Linked DNA regions of Nothobranchius furzeri. The protein of the gene in region 4 interacts with the protein of the main gene of each other region in a pairwise test. Links are inferred from orthologs where the notes say so. Each region holds a gene or a part of one and is shown on either strand. Other genes may lie near its edges. The genes, in order: trim23, rpia, fibrinogen silencer-binding protein and atpaf2.

The links.
Region 1: the proteins of atpaf2 (region 4) and trim23 interact in binary tests that used the Homo sapiens proteins (3 or more experiments, as listed by UniProt). The two-hybrid records come from large-scale screens. The link is inferred for Nothobranchius furzeri from reciprocal best matches to the Homo sapiens genes ATPAF2 and TRIM23.
Region 2: the proteins of atpaf2 (region 4) and rpia interact in binary tests that used the Homo sapiens proteins (3 or more experiments, as listed by UniProt). The two-hybrid records come from large-scale screens. The link is inferred for Nothobranchius furzeri from reciprocal best matches to the Homo sapiens genes ATPAF2 and RPIA.
Region 3: the proteins of atpaf2 (region 4) and fibrinogen silencer-binding protein interact in binary tests that used the Homo sapiens proteins (3 or more experiments, as listed by UniProt). The two-hybrid records come from large-scale screens. The link is inferred for Nothobranchius furzeri from reciprocal best matches to the Homo sapiens genes ATPAF2 and FSBP.

Annotation. Positions count from the first base shown.
Region 1 is NC_091746.1:63,285,771-63,293,887, forward strand, and holds the start of trim23 (E3 ubiquitin-protein ligase TRIM23), read right to left. Parts: upstream 4,599-8,117; 5' UTR 4,584-4,598; coding exon 4,452-4,583; intron 3,779-4,451; coding exon 3,616-3,778; intron 1-3,615. Other genes in the region: mzt2b (mitotic-spindle organizing protein 2), read left to right, coding at 5,226-5,401, 5,480-5,637.
Region 2 is NC_091758.1:5,544,366-5,552,205, forward strand, and holds the end of rpia (ribose-5-phosphate isomerase), read right to left. Parts: intron 7,782-7,840; coding exon 7,717-7,781; intron 7,621-7,716; coding exon 7,552-7,620; intron 6,508-7,551; coding exon 6,366-6,507; intron 5,281-6,365; coding exon 5,181-5,280; intron 3,156-5,180; coding exon 3,058-3,155; 3' UTR 2,842-3,057; downstream 1-2,841. Other genes in the region: eif2ak3 (eukaryotic translation initiation factor 2-alpha kinase 3), read right to left, coding at 561-826. UniProt on the Homo sapiens protein: Catalyzes the reversible conversion of ribose-5-phosphate to ribulose 5-phosphate and participates in the first step of the non-oxidative branch of the pentose phosphate pathway.
Region 3 is NC_091745.1:79,028,218-79,036,211, forward strand, and holds the start of fibrinogen silencer-binding protein, read right to left. Parts: upstream 4,983-7,994; 5' UTR 1,191-4,982; coding exon 784-1,190; intron 1-783. Other genes in the region: rnf41l (RING finger protein 151), read left to right, coding at 7,782-7,987. UniProt on the Homo sapiens protein: Transcriptional repressor that down-regulates the expression of the fibrinogen gamma chain. Represses transcription of GSK3B gene promoter via its interaction with APBA1.
Region 4 is NC_091756.1:29,840,611-29,848,549, reverse strand, and holds atpaf2 (ATP synthase mitochondrial F1 complex assembly factor 2), read left to right. Parts: upstream 1-2,460; 5' UTR 2,461-2,673; coding exon 2,674-2,791; intron 2,792-2,875; coding exon 2,876-2,920; intron 2,921-3,005; coding exon 3,006-3,154; intron 3,155-3,599; coding exon 3,600-3,697; intron 3,698-4,947; coding exon 4,948-5,028; intron 5,029-5,141; coding exon 5,142-5,254; intron 5,255-5,353; coding exon 5,354-5,469; intron 5,470-5,637; coding exon 5,638-5,775; 3' UTR 5,776-6,439; downstream 6,440-7,939. Other genes in the region: glucose-induced degradation protein 4 homolog, read right to left, coding at 244-374, 472-573, 657-764, 1,548-1,607, 1,904-2,095; TOM1-like protein 2, read left to right, coding at 7,218-7,275, 7,612-7,696. UniProt on the Homo sapiens protein: Plays a role in the assembly of the F1 component of the mitochondrial ATP synthase (ATPase).

The DNA.
Region 1 (8,117 bases), on a different chromosome or scaffold from region 4:
GCCAAACTCAATATTTTTTAAAAAGTGACGACAAATGTGCACATTTTCCTTTATCTGTAGATAAGAACGGTTGAACCTTTTTATTTGGAAACAAACTCATTTTTGCAGTAACACTGAATGTGGAATAACCAAATGACACACGAGCAAGTCGATTTTAAATAAAGCAACCACCAGTGGTATTCATTACTTATGTCTCAAATTTAAAAAATATATTTTACTCCTTAAAATCTGCATACATTCAGCATTTCTTCTTATTTTTTCTCTTTTGAGTGTTTCTATTTTATGTTTTCTGGTTTATTTTTTACTCTCCTTTGTTGCTCCTGTAATGAACGTTATTGCTGCTGTGACACCAAGCTTTCCCCACTGAGGGACAATAAAGGGATTTTCTATTTTATTTCTATTTCTATTCTTCTATCTGTAATCTTTCCTGTTTTAAAGTAGGTTTAATTTATTTTCACAGGCCAACAACATAAATAAGAATAGTAATTCTCTTAAATGAAAATGCAATATCTCACCTATTAACTTTCATGCTTCGGAACAGAAAAGGTTAATAAAACCAAAACAATTCAATCCCAGTTTTCTCCACTCCGATTTCCTGTCATGCTCACCTGTTCCAGCCTGACCTGCATCTGTGGGGTTGGGCTCTGAGCTGAGGAAGGAGTTCATCAGTGAGAAACAGGTGCTCACACAGGTTTGTGCTGCTGGACATGGAGAGCACCTGGACCACGCAATTGTGTCGGGGAGGGGGATAAAAGCTGCAGCAGCCACAGAGTCATAGTGACTTGAGCGTGTCGCTAAACTGGAGTTAAGTCATCTCGGTCTGGAAGTTGGTCGGTGCGCTTTCTATTGTCAGCAGCAAACATTACTGAGCTGTTAAAATCCATTTCTGAGCTTCAAAGTCGACTAATTACGGATTAAACTCAGCGCTGAGTTTTTCTCCTTGAAGCATCAACATGTTCCATCTTTGTTGAAACACCCTTCCTCCTGCATCAATCTCACTCTTCCTGGACATTTTGGGATAATGTGTGGAGTTATTTTCACTTGTTGCATTAATTAAACATGGAAGTGGATACACTGCAACCTAGTGGTGAGTCATTGCACTGGGAACACAATCGCCATGCATTATGGGAAATGTAGTTTATAGTTGATGTGCGCTTTGAAGCGGCATAGACCTATTTTAAGACACTTGAATCTCTCGCCCGCCGGCCTTGTGTCGGACACATGTGATTTAGAGCATTATTATCCAGATGCTATTAGTCAATGTAAAAATACATTTAAATTAAATTAAATTCTGCCACGACACTGGGCTGCCCAAGGATGTGCCTGACGTTAAATTAGCTTTACTAAGGACAAATATTGTCTGATGCTGATGTATAAAAAAATGGTAGATATCGGCCTGATATACTGGTCCACACACACACACACACACACACACACACACACACACACACACACACACACACACACACACACACACACACACACACACACACACACACACACACACACACACACACACACACACACACACACACACACACACACACACACACACACAAATCTTTTGAGACTTTTTTCTCCCCATACCTACTGACCTGGTATGAGGAGTGCACCCACTTTTCATCACAGAGTTGGCGGAGAAAACCAACTACAGTGAGGGGAGCTGTGCTAACCCTGGCTGTTCCGAGCCGCTTTTGGCTGAGTAGCAATGTTGGGAAAAGGGTTAAACTCCCTTTGTCCTTCACTCTGTGAGCAGGAAGGTGAAACACTCCAGAGCATCCAATGCTTCCTCCCCCAGCCAATCAGTGACTGGCAGTCCTCTGACGTTGCGTTTTTCGTCCCAGTTTGGTACACTTGGAACCACTTTGAAGCAGACAAATAAAGGAGCAGCGACCTGGTACCCGTTACTAGTGAAACTGGGCTGAATCGAGTGGAGCTCTGCTTAGAAGGTACTGAAGGAAAAATCTACAAGTGCAACAGAGAACATTTACACCTTTGTCCAGATTCAATTCAACCACCTTCAGAGTTTTCAAGATTTTCCAGCACCGTACAGTCATGATTTCCACACACATGGAGAGACGCTAAATGGACAAAATTATTGTCTTGCTGAATTTCATTATTGGTCTAAAACTCATGCACGTCAATTGGATATTTTTAGCGATGTCCCAATACGACTTTTTCACTTCCGATACGATATCGATGTTGCAGCCTTCAGTGTTGACCGTTACAGATATCAATCTGATACGATATCAGCACAAATCATACTTTTACCCGTTTCCTAATGTGGAATGTATGAAAGGCTTGATCAACTGATATTACTCAACTGGAGAACAACAGCCAATAACAATAAGTATGAAAAATTTCTTTTGTAACCATTGGTTGCTGTAGCTGCCCCTGGCACCATGAAGAAAAGAACGGAGAGCCTCGACGGGTGCATAAACTTTTATTCGTTTCTCTGGTCCAATGCCTTGGACTTCACTCCATGAGTTGCACTGTGAAAACTGTTTAGAGATATACAAAGCATAAATAAAAGGTGAACACAACTTCGATGTCATAACAGAAATGAATTATATTCTCACATTTACCTTGCTCCACTGGCCAAGGATGCTAAACAAACCAATAAGTCCTTAAAGCTGCTTTATCTGTAGATTTGAGTGGGGATGGACAAGAATAACAAACAATGACTATAGAGTGTCGAAGTAATAACCCAAACAAAAGCGTCAATACAGCAAAACTTACGTGGGGATGCAGTCGGCACTGTGCAGCTGAGGTGAATTTAGACCAAAGACATAATTTCAACACTTCAAAAGTGTTATCTTCTCTACAAACAACTTAACCCAAGCCATTTTCTCTGGAAGGGTGTGGCTTATATAAAATCTGTGAGCCAATTAAGAGTCATTGCCATCAGCTGCTCATCTGGCAGCTACAGTTGCAAAAATGTGAACCTTAACGAACCGCTTTTATAGGAGACTTTTGATGCCATCCGATATAATCCGATACAGTGTTTTTGGGCTGATATGGAATGACCTCCGATATCGGAATGGGACATCCCTATGTTTTACTTTGTGAAGTGCACCAAGACGACTTGTCGTTATTTGACGCTTTATAAATAAACTGAATTGAGTTTCACTTTCCAGTGTCAGCACCAATGCATGACTTTAAATAACGGAGATGTTGATGTAAACAAATACTGCAAGACTACACAAAGTTTTAGGACAAAGTCAAATCAAACCTACTACGAAGGAAGGTCTGGATCTGAAATGTGTTCATGTTTTATTTCCCTACATTAGACTGTTTTCGATTGTGAGCTCTTTTCTCTGCAGCCTAACAGCATATTTGCATCTGCCGTCCAAGAACCAGTAAAGTACACCCTGCATCTTATGATGACTGTGTATTCTCTGTGCTTTGCCACTCCAAGATAATTTCAGTCAGGAATACCACTTGGATGTTATGTTACTTCTGAGATGAATAGTTGTTTGTTTTTAGTGATTGAAGAAATATTTTTGTCATTTTCCCAGGCATCCTCAGAATTTGTTCAGTTCAATAAAATTCTACCAAATGTTGCAAATCTGCATCCTTCTTCGAAGGCCAAATTATGTTATGTCCTTCACTCACCCAGCTCGGTGACCTGTCGGTCAAAGGGGCAGCGGACCGCTCTGCCGTGGAGGGGCAACCGGGTGAGACAGTCGTGGCACACGGTGTGGCCACAGAGCAGAAGACGGGGGACCTTGTCACCTTGGAGGGAGAAGACGTCCTCACACACACCACACTCCAGCACCTGCAAGTGACAGCACAGCTTGAACACTGCCTGTCTATGTGTCTGTCTGTCTGTATCTGCTGCAAGGTGACTTCCACACTCAGGATCACGCACACTTGTAAGGAATTTTAATTTGTAACTTTAGGTTTGACTTGATGCAGAAAAGCAGAGGTACTTGAAAAATAGTGATGAGATAAAAAAATCCCAGGGTGTTGCAGTCACTTTGACATAGTGACTCCCAAGGTAAACATCACGAGACGCTTTGCCCACATTTTATTCTGTAAACTAAAATTAATTCTTCCAACAGCTGCTACTGTACACCCTTATAATGCACTGACTAGCTGATTGCTTGTTTTTGTTTATAAGGCTGCAGCGATCAGAAACTTGTGCTAATGCCAACCGGCGGTTTTCGAGCTGGTGCTAGCTCGCAGCAAACGCTTCTTAATGACAAACGAGTCTTCTGGAATGCATAAACGGCTACAATAACATGATGAAACGCGTTTGCACAGCTATTACACTGTCAAAATCCGTATTTGGCACCCACTGCGACCAACGCCAACGCAGCAGCCTTAGCTTCCAACTAGAAATACATCAAGCAAGTCTGAACCAGCGGACATTTATCACCAAAGCTAACCAAATAATATGTTCACAGCAATAACGACCTAGCTGCGGAAATTTGTGACATGTTTACGACCTTCACGGTGCTTCCACTGGCTCCCCTCCCGTGCCGGAGACAGGTCTCCATCGTCGCTCCTGCGCCCTGCTTGTTTATTCCTGCTGCAGCGGCGGCCATTCTTCGACGACGGCGAGCGAGAGAACTGAGCATGCGTGAGAGGATAATCCCTCAACAACTTCCGCGGTGTCAATTTTGGTATACTTTTTGTAGTAATTTTGTAACCCACGTTCACTAAATAAATCGCATAGTGATAAACAACCGATAAATGACCCGCATTTGTATAGCGCCTTTCAGAGTCAGAGGACTCTGTAATTTCATTCTTTTAATTGTCTTTACTTTTTACCCTTTAAACCATATAAGTCCGTGGTTGAAACGACCACCAAGCAGCTTCAGCTTTTTTTATTTGTTATATAAATCTAATGCTTTGCTTAACTGGCTCAACTTTAATGTTTATTTACTCGTTCAATACATTTATCGAGAACAAACCACAGGCTTCTAACTACATGTCCCATCATGCTGCGTGAACGTTCCGTGATGATGACGCATTTTCTACGCGCCGTGTTTACAGAGAGGAGTTGTGGATATAAGCGGGATTCTACACGCTAAAAGCTGCGGCTTTAACGGTATAAACACATGTTTGATTAAAAACGTATTTTTTGTTGTTTATAACCTGTTTTTATGTTTACTTACCTTTCAGTGAGCGGTTGAATTTCGCCATATGTTTATTCTGCGCGGCTAACGTTTTATGTTCGCGCATAAATGCCATTTTCTCACCACTCAGGTGGACTTGATATGTCTCAGCCAACACAGCAGACGGGGCCATCTGCTCCTGACTTCCCTGCTCTGGTGGTCACAGCAAACGTGCAGAAATATGCCATAAAGAAGAAGAAAATCCTGAGTGCTGAAGAAAGTGAGCTGTTTGAACTGACTCAGGCTGCAGGCATCACTGTGGATCAAGAAGTCTTTAAGTGAGTGAACCGAGACCGGTAGAAATGTGGTTCTTCACGCGGCGAATGAGTAAAGGATTCGTTTCTGCCCTCCTGTAGGATCATAGTGGACCTCCTGAAAATGAACGTGGCTCCCCAAGCGGTCTTCCAGACCCTGAAGGCAATGTGTGCAGGACAGAAAGTAGCCGACAGCTGCATAGAGGCTTCAGTTGTCTCCCACACAACAAACACCACCCCAGCACCCACCGAGGTCAAAGGTCAGTGTGTAAAAACTGGGCTTTAGTTTTGAACTTCAAGTGTTACTCCAGCATGGAGGGATTCTCTTGCTGATGCAGTTAAAAATCGCACTTGTACTGTGCTTTTCTAAGTCAGGGACTCCAAAAGTGCGTTACACTGCAGTCAATAATTCACCCATTCACACTGATGATGACCCACCAGTTACCGGGTGAACTAACCCCTGAGCCACCATCAATTTATATTGGGTGAAATGGTTTTGTGATCAGTAGTTTCTAGTGTACCCATTTCAACTTGATAAAATAGTTACAGTAATAAAATATTTATTTTTGTCACTGCTGATCGGTTCACTTGTCAAAACAGAAGATACGCAATAAATAACTAGTCAGCAACAAGAAGCAGATATGGGCGGCCATGACGGAATGGGGGTAGATCAAAAGGTGAGCCGTTCGATCTCAGCCCACTAAGCCTCAGGTACGGGTCAAATGCAGAGAATGTCCAACAGAAAGATAAAAAAGTATAAATTATTATTATTATTTTCATCATATGAGTCACCCGACCATCACTAATGCCTGCTATGTTAGTCAATGGTACTTAGAAGTGTGTAATTTAGCAAAAGCCAGTTAGGGTTTCTAATCCCATTTATGATTACATTAAAATAACAGAAGAAAACAAGTCATGGTTAATTAAAAAAACTAATTCAATTTGTTGTGGTTTAACATTTCCATTCAAAACTATTTTAATGTGTTTTTGTTCTTCCTCATGCTAATTAGGGTTGTCACGGTGTGAAAATTTAACCTCACGGTTATTGTGACCAAAATTACCACGGTTTTCGGTATTATCGCGGTATTTTTTTAAATGTGTTACATTTCCACACAACTAAATAAACCCTGTATGTCAGGAAATATTGTCCTCAGTTTGTGTCTAAATTTTGCCTAAAATATGTTATTTTGTAATTATGTTGTTTATTTGTTTACATTTTTCCCCTTTAGTCTTTAAAATACCAATATTTGCCCATAACTTATTATTTTTTGTCTGTTTGATGTCATCATTTTAAAAATATTAGATCAGATGATACTCAGTACTCAAGTAGCCTTCTAATCAGATACTTTTTTACCCTTACTTGAGTAATAAACCCTATATCAGGAAAATATCGTCCTCGGTTTGTGTTCTTCCAGTGAGCTTTGCAGATGTGGGAAAATGTCATCAGGCAGTAATCATTGTTAAATTCATAATTATTGTCAGAGAGAGACCAACTCTTATCTGCCCCTGGGAGCCCCGTAATGCATAGCGTCATTTCAACATGGGGGTGTCCGTGACACGGTTTATATGCAGGTAGCGGCGCTGCGGCTGCTTCATATAGCGACTCGTTGCATTCTCCCTCAACCCAAATCCTCGGATCACGTATTTTAGCTAAAACGCTAACGTTAGCTTGCCTTGCGTTGACTGTAGAGTTGTGGGTGATGGTCATGCAGATGTGTCATGAGATTTGAAGCATTGCTGCCTTTCACAGACACTTTTTCTGCACGTGCTGCAAACAGGATAGCCGTCTTCTATCAACTGTCCCTCGGCATTCTTCAAACATCCAAAAGATGCCCGTACTTCCCACTTTGTCTTCTTTGAGGGATAATAAATGTCATGAGCGCTGCCGTCTCCTCCTTTGGCCGTTATTTCAGCTTCAGCTTCAAGAAAGTTTTGGTTGTAAACAACAAAGTGCGCATGTGCCGCCGGCAACTTCAGCAGATGATACGGTGGCTGGTAAGGGTCACCGCGCCTACACCGCAGCCACGGTAACCCACCGAGATAATAGATTTTTAAAAAAACAAGACGGTTATTATTATTGTCAACTTTTTTACCGGGAATTACCGCTACACCGGTTACCATGACAACCCTAATGCTAATCAAATTTTTTTTTTACAAAAATGTCTCTACGCCAATAAAATGTTAGCCTTCTTGAACCGCAGTCGAGGGTTTCAAACGAGCAGCGGGCCACACTTTGGACTTCCCCGATGAGGTTTATTAATGTAAATGTCATACACTTGGGCTGATAAAAACTCCTCTTTCTTTTATCCTCGTGATTAATCCATTTGTCTTTTTTACTGTCGTTTTGATCTTGTATGTTGTGTCAGCACATACAAAAAGGAAAACTTTGTTTTGCTTATAAGGAGAAGAAACCTTTAGAACTTTTCAAATAAAGAGAGAGTTTTTGTTTCTTAGGATTTTAGCTGTTTTCTTGCTTCAGTTTGAGTCCAGTGCTTGTTTATGGGTGTTTCTAAACTACCTAAACATTTTACCACTGAGAAACAACTTGATCAGATTATAAAGCACATTGCTTCTGAAAAGAATGGACCCTTGTTGTTTCTGCACACAACTTCGAAATGAACCAGTATTTAGTGTGTTTATGACGTTGTCTGTAGCTTTTTGCAAAACAATCATTCCATCTAACCAACATCTGATCTGATCTTAGAGCTGTCCAGCTTCCTACAGTGTCATGTTTGTCTGC
Region 2 (7,840 bases), on a different chromosome or scaffold from region 4:
TCTCTGAGCAGCTGCTGCAACCTGAGTGGACCGTTCACCTGGACGTTCCCTCTGACAGCCTGAGATGTTTAGATCTGCTGGAGCCATTAGATCACGTGATTCCTGCTCCAGCTGGCAGCACCTCTGCTGTTGACACCAGACAGCTTTGGTGTTTACTGCACACCAGAAACAAACAAACCTCTGTCCCAGCTCACCTGGGACGTCCTGCTTTTGTTCTGTTCTGTTGAACCAGAACTTCCTGCTCGCGCTGAGGTGTCTCACGTTCATAAATGACCTCTAAAATCCATCTTTTCACAGCAGCCACAACCGCAGCTCCGGGAAACTTAACGTGACTCGATTATCGGACACAGACAGCACCTTCCTGTTTTCTGCTCATGGCGTTCACGTTATTGGGCATTTCCATGACAACACAGGTGTCACGTCAGCCTTCACGTCGCAGGTTTGAAAGTCGGTGAAACACATCAAAGTAAAAGCCGTCAACTTTTAGTAATTTCCAAGTCACCTGAAGTTGGAAACGAGCGTGTCCGATAATGGATGTCAGCAGCTAGCACCGTGTTTACCTTGTGGAGCGGACGCTTCCGTTACCGTCTTCGTACGGGTCGTCGGCCTCACCTGTCGACCCGTTCTCGTCGTCCTCCACGGTGACGTCTGCACCGGGGACCGGGGGGGTGCCTAGGCTCTCCAAGCCCCGCTCCATGACTCTCGGACCATGTTTTGCCGAGCCCGACACCCAGCCGGGTGAGGTCCCGGAACCGGTGGGCGCTTTGAGCAGCAGGAGCAGGAGCAGCAGGGAAGTGCTCACTCCAAAGTGAAGCCCCCTTTCCATTTGTAGAACTGGCACATTAGTGAAAGAGGAGACGCACACGCCACGGCCCTGGTAAAAGTTAGTATAAAAACAAGGTGAAAGTATAAAAGAGCCGAGGTTACGGTTATAAAAGTGTCGCGTGCTGGACGCCCCGCTGAACGAGCTCTTTAAGTAAACATAAACAGCCTCTGGGACACCATGTTGTTCTCTTTATACTAGACCCAGACTTTCCGTAGTAACGCTAAATCCCGCCTCGTTTCCACACCGGGATTGGACCGTAAACCCGCACGGGCCTTGCGTTTTAATGCGCGCGTTTCTCATTGCGTACTTCGCTGTCAGTTACACGTCCTCGCTTACTAAGCACAACATGATTGCGTTAGATATCCGTCACTCAAAGAGGCGGACCCGGAAACACCGGCCTCCAAACACTCCGTTTCATTGGCTAAACTCCTGTTCGTCACAGGTGCGCGTGCGCACTGGATAAGTGACGTAAAAAGTCCCCGGGGGCAAAATCTGTTTGGTTGTTGAGATTGGTCGGATGTTTAGTCGTTCGTCCAATGACAGAAAAGATAATGAAATCACGTAATGTTATTGGCCTAAATCAGTTTCGAGTGACCTCATGTGAGCACCTGATTGGTTAATTCAGCTGTCGCTTAGACGCAGTTGTCAAGAGCCGTCGACATGAAAAACAACAACGTGGCCCGGTGGAAGTAATCGGTGCAGTTCCTGTTTCCGGTTACGAGTTCAGTTTTACACTTTCACTAAAATGCAGCGACTGTGACACAAATCAAGCAAAGAAACGTGTTTATGAAGCCACGCTCCTAGCCTACATTTACGTGCCCGTGTTACTGATGAGGAGTTTATAGTCCTACCAGGTAACGGCGCTGCTGTCTCGTGGTGAGCATGGACCTGAACCACGTTTTCACGAATAGACCTCATTTTTGAGAGACGAACGCAGACACAGGAAATGTGGCCTTTCGATTGCATGGACACACTGCTGCCAGACACTTTAATCATCAATCCTTTTATAAGCATGAGTATGGCACAACACTGGGCAGTCTTTTACAGGCATTGAACACTGAAGTCATACAAAGGGGAAAGGTGTACAAGTACATTTGAGGTCTGTTTTCCTCCAACAAACACCGAGGCTTCAGAATTCGATCCTAATGACTGACTAGTTCAATTCCACAGGAACACGTTAAAGATGGTAGAACAAAAACATCTAAGGCTCGGAACAGCAGCTGACATTGGTTTATACAACAGAAACTTTAGTGTAAAGTGGCTCTAGACACCCAGTGACCTAACACCATAGTAACATAAAGGCAGGTATAAGCTTATACCTAATGGCATGGTCCCAACTTCTGCTAAAAGGTGGAGGTAAAAAAAACACATGAGAAAACACACAAATACATGCAAAACACCTCAAACTCGCAGACGATTCAAGGAAGACCTGAAGTTTCGTGTTGCACTTTTTGTTTTGGCATCATTTCCTCCAGTTGTTTCCTTATCCGAAAGCTTCCTCTGGTTTATCGCTGTCACACCAAACCAGGATACTCTCCAAGGCTGCACCAGTTTATGCTGGTTTAGGTGACCGGGACTGTAATGATCGAATAACTGAAAACTGGTCCTTCATTACACAAACAGAATATCAATGGGAGCTTTTAAAAGGCGTGCTTTTATTTCATTCTACTGTTTCACCAGACAAGAACTTCGATCATACGTCCCTCCAGTCAAAGCTCTCTGTTACAGCAGTAGGACTCGACTTTCCTCATCAGGCACTTAAAACTCATCAAATCAAAAGCATGGACGGGAAAAGTCAACAGCTCCGATGTTTCTTCTTGCTTTGGTGTTTTCTGAGGCAATAATTCCTGACGACGGCTCTCGTGGAACAGATTTGGTCAATTAAAAGGAGCGACAGCTAGGGCTGTAGCTTTGGTCAGTGTATGATCCGTAAGATTTAGGTTCAGCAAAATGTTTGCAATTACAGTGAAAACCTTCAGAGCAAACCTCTAACTGGTGTTCAGTTGGCTGGACATCCATCAGTTTCACTGCTCATGAATTAATTTGTAGAAATATCTTATGCTGCAGACTCAGGGTGCCATGCGCAGGTGGAGCAAACAGGTAGATCCACAGACAGCAGGAATCCCCTAAATAACTGATGACTCATCAGGATGTAAAATTACTGATGAGTCATCTATTAAACAGGTAACCCATTAGTTGCAGCTCTACTACCCATGAGTGTGGCAAACTGGTCAGTTGACTGGAGCATCCCGAATCTGCACACTTCCATCTTCCATCCCAAAGTATGCTCGTTCAGCCATGTTCACGAAGAGCCCGGTTTCTACGACACCTAAAGAACGCACAAACTCCTGACGTAAACATGGATTTTTATTTTATCACATTACACAAAAACTCAGAAACAAGAGTTATCCCATCCCACCAGCCAGCATGTTTTAGTGGTTTTTCGGCTCACATTCACTTGATTCCACTGATTAACTCATTCACTGCCAGCCATTTCCTGATCGGTAAAGCCCTTCGCTGCCAGCGTTTCTCACCATTTTTACTGTATTTTAAGATGCACAGAACATTGCGCGCTAGGATAATGTTGACGTAAAAACTACCAAAACAAAGAGGAGACTCGCCTCTTACATCAGGGAGAATCTGCACGTTTCAAACGATATCTGTTCTTTCATAATCCGTTTTTGTAATTGACCAATTGTGATCGGCAGAAGCTTTTCCAGTTTGCGCCTCACTTTTCTTTACAGCAGCGGCCCAAAAACGATCTAACTAGGGTTGTCACGGTGTGAAAATGTAACCTCACAGTTATTGTGACCAAAATTACCACGGTTTTCGGTATTATCGCGGTATTTTTTTAAAACGTGTTACATTTTCACACAATTAAATAAACCCTGTATGTCAGGAAATATTGTCCTCAGTTTTAGGGATGCACCGATGGATCGGCATTTGATCGTAATCGGCCGATAGCGCCCCTATCGGTTTTGATCGGAATTTTCAAAATAGATCAAAGCAGACCGATCAGGTAAGGTTGTCACGGTAACCAGTGTAGCGGTAAACCCCGGTAAAAAAAAAAGTTGACAATAATAACCGTCTTGTTTTTAAAAAATATATATTTAGCCTAAATTTAGCCTAAAATGTGTTATTTTGTAATTATGTTGTTTATTTGTTTACATTTTTTTCCCTGTAGTCTTTAAAATACCAATATTTGCCCATAACTTCTTATTTTGTGTCTGTTTGATGTCATCATTTAAAAGTATTAGATCAGATGATACTCAGTACTCAAGTAGCCTTCTAATCAGATACTTTTTTACCCTTACTTGAGTAATAAACCCTATATCAGGAAAATATTGTCCTCGGTTTGTGTCCTTCCAGTGAGCTTTGCAGATGTGGGAAAATGTCATCAGGCAGTAATCATTGTTAAATTCATAATTATTCTCGGAGAGAGACCAACTCTTATCTGCCCCTGGAGCCCCGTAATGCATAGCGTCATTTCAACATGGCGGTGTCCGCGACACGGTTTACATGCAGGTAGCGGCGCTGCGGCTGCTTTATATAGCAACTCGTTGCATTCTCCCTCAACCCAAATCCTCGGATCACGCATTTTAGCTAAAGCGCTAACGTTAGCTTGCCTTGCGTTGACTGTAGAGTTGTGGGTGATGGTCACGCAGATGTGTCATGAGATTTGAAGCGTTGCTGCCTTTCACAGACACTTTTTCTGCACGTGCTGCAAACAGGATAGCCGTCTTCTATCAGCTGTCTCTCGGCATTCTTCAATTATCCAAAAGATGCCCGTACTTCCCACTTTGTCTTCTCTGAGGGATAATAAATGTCCTGAGCGCTGCCGTCTCCTCCTTTGGCCATTATTTCAGCTTTAGCTTCAAGAAACTTTTGGTCGTAAACAACAAAGTGCGCATGTGCCGCCGGCAACTTCAGCAGATGATACGGTGGCTGGTAAGGGTCACCGCGCCTACACCGCAGCCACGGTAATCCACCGAGATAATGTAGTTTTTTAAAAACAAGACGGTTATTATTATTGTCAACTTTTTTACCGGGGTTTACCGCTACACCGGTTACCGTGACAACCCTACTCCTAACACGTGGAGTTTCTGTTTCCTGGTCACGTGACGTGTGACATATGAGGATGAAGATCGGCTTTAGAGCTGAGATGTTTGTTCTCACGGTGCGGGGGCTCGTTCCGATGCCCACACAGCAAAAAATGTAAAGGACGGCTTTAGTCGTCATTGGCAGTGAATGAGTTAAAATCAGGTGTGTTGGAGCAGAGAAACAACTAAAACAAGTTTGATAAGACCAGGGCTGGACACCACTGCGGGATGTAAACAGTATAAAAGTTCCTCACCAGGAATCATTTTGATTGCAGTGTTGACTTCCTTCCAGTTCTGACCATGCTCAAACTTCCAGTCCAGGATGAAGTTGCTGTTGTCTGTGACGACAGGACCCTGAAATCCACAAACACACCACCTGACTTTAATAACATCAACCACTTTGGTCTGCATAGTCTTTTCAAACATGGCAGCTCCTTTTACAGAGGGTTCCTAACCACTACTTCACACTGGAAACTCCAGCAGCGCGGAATGGCCGTGGAACGTTTTACTCACAAGCTTCAATGCGGTCCAGCACGCGCTGGGAGAGCCTTGGCCACGGAACGGCTTCCTCGCTGTGCTCCTCACTGGACTCACAACATCACAAATTCCTTCAATACTTCATGGTTCACATTTTGTTAATGCCATGCGCCATTTGGCCAAAAAGAAGGAAATGACATTTGATAGCATTTATGACGTTGTTCCTCTCCACTGCAGAACGAAAGCCATGAAAAACACACTGCTGCACTTCTGGAGCAATTCAGGGAGTAAATAAGCCGTTACGTCACAATTATTGATGTACTCCACATAGATATGAAATTACTTTGCTGTAATAGTCTTTTATTTTGAAAATACCGGGGTGGGGGGTTTACACTGAAACCGTGTGTGATTTCCTGTCTTGCCCCATGCTAACTGCAGAAACTGATGTGCCCCAGAAGCCACTTGTGGTAAAGAACCTGATCCCATCTTTAGCGGCGTGGCATGTCGCTTCTGGAACAAACCTGAAAATGCCCGCGTCGCGGCTGGTCGGCATCACCACTTTAGACTATAATGAATTATATTTGAGGCCGTGACAATCCGCTGCCATTCCAAGCTGCTAATGCTTCCAGTGTGAAATAGGGGTAATGAGTTGACTGCCTAACCAAATTAAAAAAGGACACTGAAGGATTACCGCAGATTATTTAACCCCAACAAATACAACAATGTGGAAGGACAGGTCCTGTAGATGTTAGTCTGTTTAAACACAGCAGAGAAAGAAAATCACTAGTGGCCGACACACAATCTGTGGGACCTGTGCTGAAGAACTGCTGGAGTAGGTCTCCCCTGGATATTCCAGGATCAACACCTTGATCAAACTGTGCGGCCGGAGATTCTTCTGCTTCTCCAGTCAAGAAAAAAACGTGAAAGACAAAAAAATGAAGGTGTGTGAATCGGTCCCTTACTGCTTTACTGACAGCCATTCTTAGGACAGTCTCCCCTCCGAAGCGCCTAACTATCATCCTGGAGACGGGAACATAGGCCATGGGAATAACTTCAATGGGAACTCCCTTCTTCCACTGCTGGCCTAGAGCCTTAGAGTCCTTCCTGACAGATGAAATCAACACAAATGTTAAACAGGACAACAAAGTGTTCCAAAACACAAATCAGACTTGTTTAGTTTGATGGTAACAAACCCTCCATCCAAAAACTTAAAGATTAAGTCACCACCCTGCTAGTGTCTTACTCCACCCATACTTCCTGTTTGAAACATTGAGCCAAAAGGAGGCACTGGCTTTGTCCGAGATGAGCAGCGCCTCACCTGGAAAACGGACGAGAGCAGACGGACGCAGCAGGGGGAGTGGCTGAAAGCCGGCGTTTAAGTCAGACACATTTCCTTATGCAGGCGACGATGGCTGAAGATATCACGCTAGAGTTCATACTAGTGTCAAATTCTGGTGCCTGTTAGCAACTGAACCACAGCCTCACGTGCTTGTGGATGTCATATACTGTAGACATGTGCATAGGAAGACATGACTGTATTAATAAGTAAAGGTTGTCAGCTGCAGGTTTTTAGAGTGTTTATAGGAAATGTGGTAAAGGAAAATCACATTTCTCTGTATGGCGTACATAGTTGTCAGCATCTACGTAACACGATTTACAGAATACATGTGACCAACTAACATTTCACATTCTACCACAGGGTGTTTGGATCAAAATGGGAACCAATCAGATCTTAGATCAGGTGAGAGCCAGGCGTTTCCCGCCATGCCCTAGGTTGTGCAGCCGGTGGAGAGCAACTGCAGCGCCTTGCTCCAAAATCTGCAGCCGCCTTGATCTCACGAGGTTATCGCTGCCTACGTATGCATGACGTCAGAGCAAGTCGGCGTCAAGTCGGACACGAATCTAACCGGCATGCACTGCAAAAATTTCTAAGGGAAACACTGAGCAGTCAATTGTGATGGGAGGTTTTATCTGCATCTCCTTCGCCAGAGGAAAGAACGGAAAGGGAGGAAGAATTTTGGAGGAAGAGAGGAGCCCTGAGCCTCATCGTTCCAGACCAATGGCTCATGAGTGGATCGAGGCCACAGATGCCGAGTCTTGGGGGTGACTTGCTCTTTAAACTCTAAAGGTAAACCAGTCAATACAGACCTGTAGTCAGCAACAACAACAAATCGTTTCGCACAGCCAGCAACGATCTTCTCCTGAGTCAAACAGCCGCTGTCAAACAGAGGAACATTTAGTGAGAAACATCATTCAGCAGGGCCTGAGGGGTGTGTGTGTGTGTGTGTGTGTGTGTTTTTACTGCATACTCACCCACCACCTTTTATCAGTGTGAGCTCAGAGTCCACTTCGTCTGCTCCATCAATAGCAATGTCCAGCTGAGCCAGGGCAAAAAGCACAGCATTAAAAATGAACTTCTGCAGCAGCTCTTTGCTGT
Region 3 (7,994 bases), on a different chromosome or scaffold from region 4:
GTCTCTGTCTGTCTGTCTGTCTGTCTGTTTGTCTGCGTGCATGCGTGCGCGTGTGTGTGCGTGCATGCGTGTGTGTGTGTGTGTGTGTGTGTGTGTGTGTGTCTGCTCTGTCTTCTCGATCCCCAGTGAGTCGTGGAGGATGGCTGCTTATACTGAGCCAGGATTCTCTGGAGGTTTCTTCCTGTTAAAAGGGAGTTTTCCTCTCCACTGTCGCCTTATGCTTGCTTAGTATGAGGATTGCTGTATATGCTTGATGCAATTTGCTGGGTTCCTTATATAGGAAACATTATTTCTGATTGGCTTAATGAACTGACCTGAATTGGAATGTTTATTATGTGAAGTGCCTTGAGACGACTCTTGTCGTGATTTGGCGCTTTATAAATAAACTTGAATTGAATTTACTATTTCATAGTTGTCTGGCCTCGTTAACGGTGAAATTCTTAGATCTGCTGTCAGTCACAGCCTCATCTATACGAAGACCCTCTACCTGCCTTGTTACGCGTGTATTTTTGGAGTAAACCGTTAAAACTGAAGATTAATTGGTGATACTAAACAGTGACTTAGGTTTATTTGATCTGATCGAGATCAAAACTAAGTTAGAAAAGCAAACTGTGAATAAGAATAAAGAAAACTTGTAGAACGCCATTAATTTTTCTGTTATCAGTGATGCTGAGATGCACATTTCAGAGCCAAGTGTGTGTGTGTGTGTGTGTGTGTGTGTGTGTGTGTGTGTGTGTGTGTGTGTGTGTGCGTGTGTGCGTGCTGACAAGTCTAACACTGTACCTGCGTAGAACCTGGTCCTTCTCGTGTATGGGCACATGGTGAAACAGGTGAGGGATCATCTCCATAATCCTCCTGGTTGGCTCTGAGATGCTCACTCTGTACTCTGGCTGGGCGTGTCTCCTCTGCATCACTTCCTGTTTGGCTGACTCCTTCAGCCTCTTGTAGAGAGTCCTGAGGCCCTGAGCGGTCCTGTGGGGCCTGTCCCCTCCCAAAGCGTTGTACTGCTCTGCGATGGTGTCCCAGCACTTGTTCTTGTCCACGATGACGGCGTGTTTGTTGGTGTGCTCCTCCAGGATGCGGATGTGAGGGCGAACCAACTTCAACAGGTCCAGCTTCTCAGAGAGGGTGAAGTTGGAAGAGCGAGCTTTGCCCACCATGCTGGACAGAAACACCGCGCTGGACGCCATCCTATAGCATAGTGGACCACCACAGTCCCAGTCAGGCCTAGGACCCTCTCTCAGTGGCTCCTCACTTTGCTCAGCTGCCTTTTCTTTCTGTTTTATCCCCTCTGCTCTCTTTTGATCCACGATGGCACAAAGGCCTAACTCTAATTTATGACTAAATGGCTCTCTCCTTGTCCAGATCCATCACTGGCTATGAACTGTGGCTACAAACTCTGGTCCTGGGTCCTCTCACAGCTACGCTGAACCAAGAAAAACTGGCAGTGCTGCTTACAATAAGAATCAGGCTTAACTAGGCCAGCCTCGTTTAGGCCCCCGCCTACCGAGGAGGGCTTTGGATGAATTCCTCTCAGCTTAGGCTGACGTAGCTAAGCCGCTTAAGTCCAGCCCGACCTACTTTCAGCTCGGTCTCTCTAAACCAAACCAAGCACAGCAGCAGCACCATGTCTGCTGCTGACTGTGAACGGACACGACAGAAGCTGAGATGTGTTTTCACCAACAACCAGGAGGAAACTGTACAGCTGCACGGGAGCCCGCATCGGGTCCGCTCGGATTCATTCACCTGAAGCAGGGCGACTGTGTGAAATAGTGCTGGCTTAACTAAATGAGCGGGGGAGGGGGCAGGGCGCACTGCGCATGCTCGTAGAGGACTATGGAAGCCAGTCAAATTAAATCTCAAGTCTGCGTCGACCTAATATCAACACAGCGCGTGCTCAGGTCACGTGAGGATACACGAGCCGAACCGACGCGAGTTTTCATCAGCCCGCCTGAGCCCGCATTCATCCACAGCCCACATGCTGCAGTCCTTCGTCTGGACCCTGAACGCATCATTCGTGCAGTAAACAGACGCGCCGCGCAAGAGCAAAACGGCGTCTGTCGCCAGAAATCTCCCGAACATGTGCTGCTGAGGCTGGGACAAATCCCAGAGTGAGGATCCGTGTGGGAGAACCAGACCACGTCTGTCTCACACTCCTCCGATGTACTAGATTTAGATCCGGAACCGGGTCTTCAGGCCGCAGACTTTCCTATATTTAATGTTATTTTGGCAGAAGCTAGTGAGAGATGATCCATTGAATCACCACATGAAGAAAAACAAATACTTTTTTCTTTAAAATATAAATTGCTCTCATTACTTCTCACTCTAAATCACTCAAACATATTTAAGTACATTTCAGATTATAGCCAAACACGTTTTTATTTTAATGCTTCAAACATTTGTATTGTGTGTTCACCTGGCAGACCGTTTACATCCATAGAAACTCCAGTGAAGCTAGTCAAAACAAGCCAGTTTGGAGCCTTTTATTGCTTTTATTTAGTTGATTTGACAGTAAAATGGTTTTAGCTTGCTGCGTGGTCGGCTGCACTAACAGACAAGGATGTAAACTCAATTCGTTTTTTCTTTTTAATAACTTTGATGGAGACTGAGGACGGAGATGAACAGCAGTGATCAATCCAGAGGGGTGAATGTAGGCAAAGTCAGCAGCATGTTTACATCGGTGAACAGCTGCAGAGAACGTAAGCTAACGTTGGTAAGCTAGCTAGCATACCGCTAGATGCGCTACTTCTTCTGTTAACTGAACTGGGCATGAACTAGTGGAAGGAATGCTGGAGGAGTTTTGTTTTTGTTTTGATCACAAAAACAATTTCAGGCTCTACTTTTCCCTTTGTTTAGTAATCGTGTCGCTCACTGTTTACATGCTTTTGCCGTCCACCATGGTGGACCCACGTGATTAGGTGACGTCGGTGCAAAGGTCGATAAATAACTTCAACGGTTCCGTTTTCTCATTAATCTCCTGAAATTCAGATGAAGTGTCCCTCAGATTAAGATCAGAAGCCATTTTTACACCCACACACTTGGTCTGGGTACATAAAAATTATTGTGCAGAGCTTAGACTCAGAACGTTGAAGCATAGAAAAAGCATCAAATACTAATCATTACAATTAAACAATAAGGAGCAGTGGGGTCCCTAATCGTTGTGTACTTTATTTACACCTGTATTGGCTTATATTGCACTTTTGGTTGCCATGTATTGTATTAGTAATGATGTATCATTGGGTTTCTGCACATACTTTGTTTTTGTTTTGAGTCATCAGGCAGCACACCCTCAGCGTGTCACTCTTTTTCGTACTCTTATTTTTCTGCTTGCTATTTATCAACATCACCGCTTCTTGTTTCAGGGTATCTGCAGGTTTAAGGGAGCCAAATTTAAGACTTTTTAAGACCTTTTTTAAGGCCACTTTGACCAAATTTAAGCTATTTTTAAAATTAAATTTAAGCTATAATTTCCAGCTATTGCCTGGAACCGGTGCTAACCACGTCGCGAACGTGGGATTAGCCATCCAGTTACCATTACATTTGCACTTCCCCATGGCGCAAGCTCCCACTAGCTTAACCAGCTAACGTGCTCATCTAAAAACAGCCCCCTTTCACAACCAGCTGAATGTGTACGGTTCCGCTTACGCCAACATCGTACACAAAAAATGCTGAACACCAACTAGAAATTCATGAAAATTTTTATAGAAATAAAATAATCTTGTTTATTGGGTCTTTGGTAATTTAAGACCTTTGGAAACTGGATTTAAGGATTATTTGTCATTTTTAAGGATTTTCAAGGCCTTAAATTTGGAAAGGCAAATTTAAGACTTTTTAAGGACCCGCGGATACCCTGTTGTTTAAGATGCTACATAACCCAAAATTCATCTCACTTTGTGTTAAAGAGCAAGTCACCCCCAAATCTGCTTTTTTTCTGATAAACTATATAAATGTGTGTCTAATCGTGCTGCAGACACGTGTAGTCAATAGTTTTGCACTTTAGTGCATTTTAGTTAAAATGTTAATGTTCTGCCTAAAACTGTCAGTGTTGTGCCGTTGTCAGGTAAAAACTCTGCACTGCATTTGAATTTAAATCTGCCATCGCTATTGGCCAAGAGGTACCCTATGATGTTAGCTGGTACCATATGATGTCACAATGTTGTTGTGAGCCTGTGTGTGTGTGTATTTGTTAGCGGCTCCGACTCAGTCTGCTAGGCAACAGCATTTGTTGCATTTTTTCAAACAGGAAGTAATACTCTGGTAGGGGGCGACTTGCTCTTTAAATACCACATTAAAAAAAGATAAAATTAAACTAACAGAAGTACACGTTCAGAGCTGGGTGCTGAAAGGTGACACGTGATTAAATAATCCAGACGTAGATGGTTTATCTGACTTTTTTGTTCAAGAAATATGCAGTGCACTTCCACTAGTTGGCCTGTGGATGGTACCTCACTAACGTCCATTCCTGTGGTTAATGTGCATTTATGCTTATTCTAGAGAGCAGTTTTTAATAGGCTTTACACCTTAAGTGTAAAGAAGTTATACAAGCTAAAAATAGACATTTTATGATCCAGATAACTGGTATGTACAGAAGAGAAACGGTAACAGAAATGAGCAGCAATTTTCCAGAAGTTTCTGAATTATGCAGATTTGTTTGTGTGGATAAAAAAGGTTGTATTCAAAGGTGTGCGGCCCAGTGATTTGAATACGTGTAACAAACAAATCTCATGTTTAGTATAAATGAATAAAAGCAAATACACGATTCAAACCAAAATCATACAGATTCAGTGATGTTTCAACTGATTTTGCACCCGATGCAGACGACAAACATGCAGCAAAAACATTATAAAGTTCACATTTAGTTAATGTTGATGTAGCAGATGTACTCAGATTGACGAGCAAGTAAGAAAATTACCTTAAATGAACTTTTCCCCATTAATGTTTTCCACCTTTCTATTACTAAAGTATCTGTACGAGTAACACTACCAAAGTTGTGAATTATAAGTCATCTCACCTGATAGAGTTTTGTTTTCTGTACAACCTTCTGATCGAGAGCTTGGATCATTTGTTTCTGCTTCATTTTCTTTAATCTCTGTTGCACCGAGAACTCGAGCCAGCGCCTTGGACAAAGCTGGAGAAGTGTGGCTGGGTTTGGGCCTGACATCAAGTGATGTTTTGTTCTCTACTGGTGTCAAAAGACTTTTCTGGATCTAAAAGAAAAGGGAGAATTAGAGATGTGGAATTATGTGAAAACATGATAAATTGATAAGCATACAGATCAGACTATAATACAAATTGATTTTTTTTTTCTCGGAACTGCGCTGCTCTGGGTGGCTACATGTTGGAGTAGCTCTGTTGACTTTATGTAAGTTTTGCCTTTTCTTGGGCATTTTTTCTTCTAGTTTCTCAAGAAAAACTGTATTTTTTGGACATTTTACTTTTCTGTTTCTGGTGCTGTGACGCTTGGAGGATTTTTACTGCCATTTTTTAGCTTTTTTTCACTTTTTGAGCATTTGTTATGATGCGTAACCATGGCAACAAATTTGTTTACAATCGGGAGCAGCTAATTAACATTGGACAGGCTGAAATAATACCTCAACTGAAGCCACAAATCCCAAATGAGCTAAAACGCAAGAAGCGTGGGTGCAGAGCGGGAGCAAAATGGAGACAGAGAAAGAGGAAATTCAAACCATCGCTTCCATCGATCATAACGGGCGATGTGAGATCACTGGCCAACAAGATGGAGGAACTCCAAGCCCTTTCAAGGACTCAGCCAGAGTTTCGGCAGTTTCTGAACCACTGGAGGAGATAACGCAAAGAAGGATTCTCCAGAGAATCAAGAAAATGATGGACAACCCTGAGCATTCTCTTCACAAGACTGTCCGACAACGGAAGAGTGTCTTCAGTCAGAGGGTTCTTCAGTTTGGCTGCAACACTGACCGCTACTGGAGATCCTTCCTGCCAACAGCCATTGTAATATACAACAACTCTTTGATGACTTGATTATTACTACAGCAATCAATTTCCCTCTGGGATTAATAAAGTACTTTTGAATTGAAATGCTGGTAGAAACTTGCCTTATCGGGTGCGTTGTCTAGACTGAGTTTTGAGGCCGAAGGTTTGGATTCTGGTCTAAGAAACAAACCAGTAGCTCCTGGTGGTGCAAAGCGAGGTTTTTTCGTTGCATTGCCCAAAAGCTGACTGGGAGCTGCTGATCGGCGCATTCTTCAGGTGGCAACTCAAAATTGTTATTCAACCTAGAGAGAAAAATTCATGTATCAACAGAGATGTGATGAAATTCATGGATATTTTCCAGCGGCAGAAAAATATTCATTCATTCATGTTTTTCATTCATTTAAAACAGGTCAATTCTAATCAATTTCTGTTGGGCCAGTACAAATATGCAACTCTAATTACTCATGGGTTTCGTATCTGATGAACGTTCGCTTGTCAGATGCCAGAACTTTTATTTTCTGGTTGATAATCTGGCCCAACCACACATTTGTTTTGCATTTTCAAACAATAGATATTTGTCCGATAAGTGCGTTTTCTACCGTAACGTGGTGAAACAGAGCAAACACGACCTTAAACAGATTTAGTTACACGTTAGGGTTTCTGCTTTTATCACTCAAGTCTTCTCAATCCACTGAAGCTACGAACGCACATTAAGCTAGCTCTGACGGGTTAACAAACTACACGTTATTAGCAAACCGCGGCTAACAGCCTTAAAACGGTCTGAACTCGGGTGTGTTTCTGGTGTTACAAGTTGTGTTATACATACCAACACGAGTTTAAAGTGTCATAAAGACGTTTAAGATGAAAAATGTCATCGAAATTCTTACAAATGTATCTGTCCGATTCTGTTTCTCCCGCTGAACGGTTTGCAGAATCTGATTGGTTGAATCCGTCGGAAGGCGTGGCCAAAACCACTAGGGTATGTTTGATTTATACCTCACTATAGCTGATTGCGTTTAATGTACAAACATACTTTACATGATTAACTTTTACTATTATAAATCAATCTCACTTCTTCTCTACATATTCAAAAACACTTATTTTAATGAAAATAGTGGGATGATATTTGTGTGATCATCATGAAACAAAGCGTTCCTGTTTAATTGAGAACTTTTCTAAAAAAAAGTTTTGCTCCTTTTACTTACTGCATTACTTTAAACACTTAAAAGTGCAACATTTGATTCGTGTCCTTGCGTGTTTTGTCCTGACAGAGGCTCATTGCTCTTTAATCCAATCAGGCAGGGAGAGAGTGTAATCCTCGGTAATCCCACATCCAGAGACAAACTAAAAGGGAGAATCCTCAAACACGACTGGTCATTAAAGAGAGATGATCTGTAAAGGCTATGTCACTTTCACAGCCTGAGTTCTCAGGCAGAAACTGAGTCAATCTACTGCAGTTTGAGGGTTTTCGTCTGAATGACTGTTTCCTTTTCTTTTAGTAATTCTGTCCACCTGATCTGTTCCCATCTGACAGCTGCCTGGCTGTATCCTGACTCCTTGTTGTCAAGGAAACCTCTCCCATGGGGACTCTGTGTTGGGGAAGGGCTTTACAGGAGAGCATCTGCTCACTCGGATGGTGTGAAGAGTGAGGATGAAGAAAGGAGAACAGCAGCAGAAAGATAAAAGAGAATTCTTGCAGAGGAACAAGTGCGGTTAAAAACACAAAAGGAAAGGAGTTGGATGAACCCTTCAGGTAGGAATGCTGTCTTAGGAAAACTCATGAATCTTCAGTTAAGCGTTGTAAAACCTACAATCTGTGAAGCTGCAGGATGGGCTTTGATCTGGAGAGGTTTGTGGGTTTTGTGAATGAGGGTCTGCTGTGCTGTGTGTGTCGAGACGTGCTGGAGCGCCCCCTCCAGGCTCCCTGTGAGCATGCCTACTGCAGCTCCTGCATCAGCAGCTGGCTGCTCCATCACCACTCCTGCCCTGAAGACAGGCTGCCGCTGGACCTGAGCAGCCTCAAACCGCTGTACAGGTGCGTC
Region 4 (7,939 bases):
GTTAAAGTGAGTTTAATAATATAACATTCAAGATTTGCCGGTGATAACTCCGCAGCGTAGCTTGATAAAGCCTGAAACAACGCCATTCTCTGTTGCCAAGCTGCGCGCGCATTCTCGCTGACGTCATATGGTTTACGAACAGTAAAAGGGTCTATTAGGCGATTGAAAGAGCAGAACGATGAAAGTGCAAGACCCTAAACCATTGTGTCAGAAGATTGAATCCCTTTTGTGTTGATGCGTTACCATTCAGAACTCCGGTGGTAGTAGTAACCCTCAATTGTTGCTGTGGATTTCTGGAAGCAGATGTAGTAGAAACCAGCAAAGGAAGCGCCACTGATGTCTTTGATGGTGTGGTCTGGAACCAGAAACTGCTCCTGAAGGAGGAGAAGGAGAGGAGGAACGCCAGCAGCAGATAAGAATAACTTATTTAGGCATGGAACTTGGTCTGGTGACATCCAGGTAGCGTCTTACCTTCCACCTCATGAAAATATAATCAGAGTTCTTCAGATCCTTGTAGTCAAACTCGTCCGAGTTAAATATCTTTGCATACTGGTAAAAAGCCTGAAACTTACCCTAAATATAAAAAGAGTCAACTTCGCCATGATACTGTTTAGTCATGATGACTTTTACAGATTGGGAATAAAGTTGGACCTTACCCAGTGTTTACGATCTACATCCTCATCTGCATCCCACTTCCGAGTGAGAAACGGCCGCTTCCTGCTGATGATTTCTCCAGCAAAGAACGTGGTTAGTGTTGGATATTCCTAGAAGAACGGGCGAGTTGATTTCTGTTTTAGTTTGGGAATGCCAGAACATCACAGCCAGTATCAGCAAATCTGCCAGGTTCAGTTTCAATAAGAAATAAACATTCTGTCAGGGTTACAGTTGATCACCAAAGAGTTCATATTTAATTAGTCACAAAGACAAAACAAGAGCAGTCTGACCATGAATCCAGATGGACACAACAAGAACGGATCTTAGGAAATTCCTTAATTATCTGATGCTGATGTTGCTTCCATTACCTAAATTAAAGCTACTGATCTAAAGAGATGATAATCTTAAGAAACAGAGATTTCTGCAGAGGTAAAGTGTTAAAAACTAATTTATTCCGCCAGGAAAATATCCTGACTCTTCCACTCTTCTACGTGTAACCTTTACACTTATAAAAATATAGTTTTCTGTTAACAATTAATCTAGACAAACCTGATGCAGAGGTAAGACTCAAGAGAACTACATACAGACTAGAAGTGTTATGGCAATGATTTGCTCCATCAGGAAGCAGCCATCTAGCACTTGTTTATTTATCTGTATATTCTGCATCTCACTGATCTTTGCCATTTAAAGGATGCGAAACTGAAATAATACAGTTTTAATAGGTGAAGTTCTTCAGTCTCATTTCAAATACATGCATGGGCTAGAATTAGAAAATTGTGGATTAAACCGATGTAGGCCTTTTGAGAAATCAGAAATACAGTTTTCTTTCTAAAGGCAAGAAAATTCAGTATGAATCAAATTTAAGCAACAAAACACTTCGTGTCCCTGCTCACCTCTGTCAGCCCTTTTATCTTCAGGTAGCCACACAAGTAGGAATCTTCCATTGTGACATGCTTTAAGAAGAAAAAAAAAGATTTTCATCATCCAAGTCAGCAATAAACGTGCTTTAATCTACATTCGTATGGATCCCATGATTATGTTTCATAAACATGCTAAAACAGCCTGTTGGTCTTTGAAAATCATATCAAAAAGTCCACCTTTTCAGCAGCATTTAGTGAAAATTGACTAGAGACCAAGTACAACACTGATGATGGTCTGATTCAGGTAGGACAGAGTGTTCAGCTGTCAATCATCACACGGTCGGTTTGACACATCACATTAATGACTGTATACACGCTTCAATTCCTACCTGCAGGACAACCTCCACATCGTAGGAGTTCCCTTTGCTTTTCTGGTGGCCCCGAAACTTAGAGCCGCTGTACAGCAGCGAAGTGACGACGCCGGGCTGCTGAGTGTTTATAGGGGGTGGCGGGATAAGTGAGGCCGAGGATGTGAAGGCCGCTGCGGGTGAGTCGCTGATGTATCCAGCAGGGACGGGCATGGCTCCCACTTCGCTGGCTGAGCACCAACCACGGTCAAAACACTGTGTTCGCCTCTTCGAACAGCTAAATGTTTACTGAATACGCTCACCGATATTCAAATTTCACTTAATTCCAATGTAGCACAGTTTACCAAGCTGCTCGAGAAGTAAGTGGACTTGCTGTGCTGTAGCCAGGAGCATTCACCTCTCTGATTGGTCGACTGAGTTCGCCGTACGAAGATTCTAAACGCTTATTGGCTGAACGTGCAGAAGGATTTACGTGACTATTTGGTTGTAGTTTTTCCCCCTTTTGTAATGCAGCGCAAAGGGACTAAGAGGCTCCTAAAAAAACTACATTTCCCACTAAAGTAAACAGTTTACGACACTGTCAACCAACTCGCAAAGAAGGTCAGCCAGCGTGCTTGAAACGCCGGAGCTTGAGACGAGAACAAATGCTAAAACTGCAAACAGTCTGTAAATGATAGATGTAAATGTCATTCCGTTTACGATGTTGCGCTATTTTAAGTGAGAAACGGTGGGAAAAAGCTTTGCGATTTGTTTCTGTTTTATTATTAGCCTTACGCCAAAGTCGCTGAGCCATGTTTAGAAGTCTTATTAGACTCAAGAGTCCATTTGGAAGTGTTATTTCTCTTTACAACGTGTGCCCGAGGCATCAACACTCCAGTTGTACGCGGAAGTATTCCACCGCCACATCAGGTTAGACGGAAAATATTAGTAAATCCGTTTAGCTGACGATTTCATTAACCCTGTTTTCTTTTGCGATGTTGTGCTGTGTACCAGAGAGGAAGAAGTTTTATCAAGATGTAAGCATCTCCCAAGGTGAAGGTAAGAGGAAATGTTCCATTCCTGTGTTTACATCATTCTGTCTTATGGTTGTGCTAAATATTAATAGCAATAATAATCTGTACAGGTGGTCTCTACGAGATAAACCTTGACAGAAGGAAACTGAAAACTCCAGGTGGGAACCTGTTCGTAGTGCCTAATGAGGCCCTGGCCGTCGCTGTGGCAACAGAGTGGGATGCTCAGAAGGATACGCTCAAGTTCTACACTATGCATCTGGTATTTGGCTATGCACACATAAAGCTGTCAGCCAGCTGCCCTTTCTCTATTACGTGTGTGCGTGTGTGTGCGGGAGTTTGCATCTGCTTGGGACGGGATTGAGGATGGGAGGACGGAGATACAAAGGGGATCTCTTATGTTAATCTGTGTGGGAGGGGTGGGAAACTGGCTGCTGGGTTGTTTTTAATATTGTAAAGTGCTTTGAGCAGCATTTGTATGGAAAGCGCTTCATAAATACATTTTGATTGATTGATTGATTGAGAAAATAAATTTTAAATACAACGAGTGACTTCACCTCTGTAATAAGGGTACATTCCAGGAAATGCGTTGTCCAGCTGAGTGTGAGGTGTCCATTTATGGATTATATACAGTATGCATGCTTATAGCTATGTCCTGTCAGTTACTGAATCATGGATCTGATGTTCTTGCTAAACACTTCTTGCAGACGACTCTGTGCAACACAGCTCTGGACAATCCAACTCAACGCAACAAGGACCAGATGATCACTGCTGCTCTGAAGTATTTGGAAACAGACACCGTTTGGTAAACTTGTTATTTTTATATCTATATCAGATAAAACATTTGTTTATATAACTGAAACAACGGCAGGGTTATACAGCCCAAAAATAAAATCTCTGATTTTATTTTTTAAATTTGATTTACGATTCTCTCTCCCCCTCAATTATTAAGAATAGCAATAAGTACAAATGGAAGGCAACTTAAAGCCAATTTTGTTTTGTATTTAATCACAAGCAAGAGAAATGTTACCCTTATTTCTGAGATGAATAATGAATAAATGATCACCCTCTTGGAATAAAAGTGCCAAGCTCCACATCCGTCGCAGCAAACCCAAACCAGTTCCATACAAGGGATGATTTAATTCCTCTCGTAGGAACAAACTTCCCACTCTCACCGGTGGCCATGGAGTCACTTGCTGTTGCACATCCGTGTACGTGCTGTGACGTTGTTGTCGCGGTTATGTGAAACTAATGCTACGGAAGCTCCGGGGGGCCAAAAAGGCGCTATTACATAAAAATTTGATTTGCTTTCTTTAATCGCCAGCAACAACAAATTCGGCCTGGGTGATGATTTGATTATCGCCCAGGCCTAACTGAAACTAAACCAGGAAAACTAAGCATCCAGTAAGGATCAAAGGTCATTATACCAATATTTATACATCACTGCTTTTAACACAAGACAGTTGAGCTCAGATGAATGGCAGAGTAGATTTTCATAATCCGTCAAAGGTGAATGCACACAGGCCAGTTGAGCAAGTGGACACCTGATTATTTCTATTGTAGTAAATGCAAAATGCATTTTTCAATTAGTGATTCCATTTATTAAAGAATTAAATCTTTCCAAACCAATTTGACCCTTGGAGCCAGCAGCTGTCATCAAGCACATGTGGCTTTCACATCTCTGTGAAAGATTTATGTCCCGCTGCTCGTTACAGAAACTGAAATCAGCCACATTGGAGGGTTTTCCAGCATGAATTACCTGTTTAAGGTCAAAGGTCAGACATTCTTCTTCAGGATGTTTTGCTAAGGAAGCAGCCTCAGACCATCACACTACCACCACCCTGTCTGACTGCAGGGACGATGTCTTTTTCCTGAAATGCTGTCAGTTTTACCCCAGGTGTTAAATAGCCTTCATAAAACCAGGTGCAAGAAAGTTCAGATCTAAATGAATTAGGAAAAGACACGTTGTCATTTAGATATTTTAGTAGTTGTCATTGATGGTGGCTGTTTGCAGATTAGTTTTAAGTTTCGTACTATTTGTTTTGTTTTGTGTAGTTACAGAGTCGATGAGCCTCCAGGTTTGGTCGAGCTCCAGAAGAATGAGTGGGACCCTGTGCTGCACTGGATTGAAAACAGGTGACAGACAGCATTTTGTTGTGATCAGAGCTGATCTGCTTGTGTTAAAGCCATCCAAACGCTCCCGGCCAAGATGCTGCACTAAATGGTTATCTTTCATGACCGCATGGCAGGTACGATGTCACTGTTGGATCCTCGTCCAGCATTTTGGGTCCTGAGATTCCAGAAGCAACCAAAGACACATTCAGGCAACACTTGAGCTCCTACAACCTCTGGTCCATGACAGGTACGAAGTCCAGATGTTTTTTTTTTTTAAAGGGATCGTGATTTATTTATTTTTGTGGTGACTTTGAGCTTCACTTTTTGTCTGGTTGCTTTCGAGCAGGACTGGAGTTTGTGATCACTCAGCTGAAATCTGTAATTCTGTCGCTGGGGATGATCGACAGACATCTGAGTGTGGAGGAAGCTGTGCTGCTTTCCAGACTGGAGGAGGAGTACCAGGTAGGAATTACCAAAAACATCAGCTTCTTCATTTTGCTGCGGGGTGGGGTGGGTTTTGGTCGTATGAACTTGAGTCTCATTAACTTAGTGCCCAAAGAACCGTTGAAGCAGGGTTCTTCTTGCTAAAACATTCAAGCTTTCTTTTTTCTCGTTTTGTGTCTTTGACAGATTCGGCGCTGGGGAAATGTGGAGTGGGCCCATGACTACGACATGTATGAGCTGAGGGCACGGACGGCCGCCGGAGCTCTTTTTGTTCAGCTCTCATCTGAGAGTTCAACCATCAAACACAAGCTCATGCAAGACTGATGACGATTCAGATTACCAGTTAGCTTAAAGCAACAATCATGTTCCACGACCTGCAGCAGATCTAACATGAAACCAACGTGATGTTGTAGAGGTCCCCCTTCCTCTGTTGCTGGATGGTGTTTGTATGTGGCAGCTGTGTCTCTAGTTGGTCATCAATCACTTGTGACATTTGCTGGACCCAAACACACATTTGAAGATGGTGCTTTTGTCTTCTTCATTATAAAAACAGTGCTTGTTCTTATAAAATCTGTGTGAGAAATGCTCTCTCAGATTAAAACAAACATTCTGGAGTAGGATTATACTTCTGTAAGAACACATTCAACATGTTTGTGTCTGTTCCTTCTGTTTTTGCTTTTTCCATTGTGATATAAAGCAACATTATGTGTGCCAATGATGGTTATTGTGAAAAAAACAGAAACAATGGTTGTCTTGCATTTCTGAATAATTTTCTACAATAAATGTAGACATCCCTGTTCAATTTAATTATGGATCAGATTTCAGGTTTTAGGTTTCATTTATGGCACTTATTGCTTTTAGTTTTTTGTAATTTAGTTTTTTTCCCCCTTGTGACTCATTTTAATGTATTTTGTGTGCAGCTCTTTGGGGCAATGGCTGTTGCCCTCTAAATGTGCTATAGTATCAATAAAATTTAACTTGACTTGGATCTGGATCCATTTTGTCTTCATTTACTACAAATATTCAGAATACATCAGCTTGACTTTTGAGTTGTAAGAAAAAATGTAAACGTGATTTTAGATCCAGCACCTTTGTAGTTTTGTGGGATTTTAAAAAAGTTTTAAGGTTTTACTAATTATTTTTAGGGTTAAACATGGTCTGACCATATCATCCAAGTGATCTCAGAATCTACTCAAGATTTTAGTTTCAGCCAGTTTCTCTTCAAAGGTCCAGCAAAGGCACAAATGTGTGGCCCGCACCACAAACTGGAAAAAAAGAACTGCTTTGCATGGATAAAATACTCGGTGTTTACGACTCAGACGTTCCTTTTGATTCACACAGAGGACTTTAAATTTGTGTACTTTGCTGAGACTTTTAGAATTTTTAGTTTGTTTCCTAAAAATGCAAAAGACAATCAACATTCATCTACTTTGTTAACTTGATTTTTAATTTTCAGTTAAATGAGGTTGCATTTCAGGCAGTAATGTTTTTAAAACAAAAATATAAAAGCGCACACATTATTCATTAACTTTTTATTTATTTAGTTTACATTGGATAATGTTCTGGGACAGAACTGTTTTATTATCTTAACCCTTGGACCCTTTTATTTAGTTCTTCTGAAGGACATCAGCATTGCCCAATCAGATTACAGTGTTGGATATTCTGACCAATCATATTACCGTTGTAGGCGGGGTTTAGGCACGTTTTCCCATGTATCATCATCATCATCATCATCATCATCCTATGGACTGACTTGTTTGTTGTTGATGAAGATGGAGTTCCTTTTGGGGAATCCTTTCACTACCCCCGTTGGCCATTGTATCGGTAAGCAGCTGGATATTCTGGGAGCAGAAACACGCTCGTTTCGCCTTAAGTAGTTCGACACCGTGTCCATTTTGTGTTAGTCATTTACGGGTTAGCTACCCGTTAGCCGCCTAGCTAACTCTTGCTATTGCAGAAACACATTCGTCATTGTGAAAACATGGACTTTGAATAATAAAATATCTGTTTTTGTCATTTCTCAAGACGACGGTTGGTGTCAAACGGATTTAACCCGCGTCTATGTTTAAATACCTGTTAGCCAACAAGCTAACAGATAAAGCTCGTTATGTATGTGTTGCATCGTCATCATCTCATTAAATGACTGCATGTGTGTCTTAGAAAGAGCTACCGACGGCTCCCTGCAAGGTGAAGACTGGACTCTTAATATGGAAATCTGTGATATCATCAATGAAACAGAAGACGGGTGAGTTATTGCACAACCACTCATTAAACACATACGTATGTGCACTGTTCTATTCCAGTGGTGTTTACGTTATGCATTCCTGCCTATTCAGATAAAACAACAACAACTGTGTTTTCATCTTTCTGTGTCATAGTAGGCACAGACAACCTCGCTGTAGGTGTGTGAGGTGGATACGTGCGGGCCTCATTGCTTATCTCATTGCACCATAAACGTGTGTTGCGTGTGTTTAAAGCCTTTGTGTGA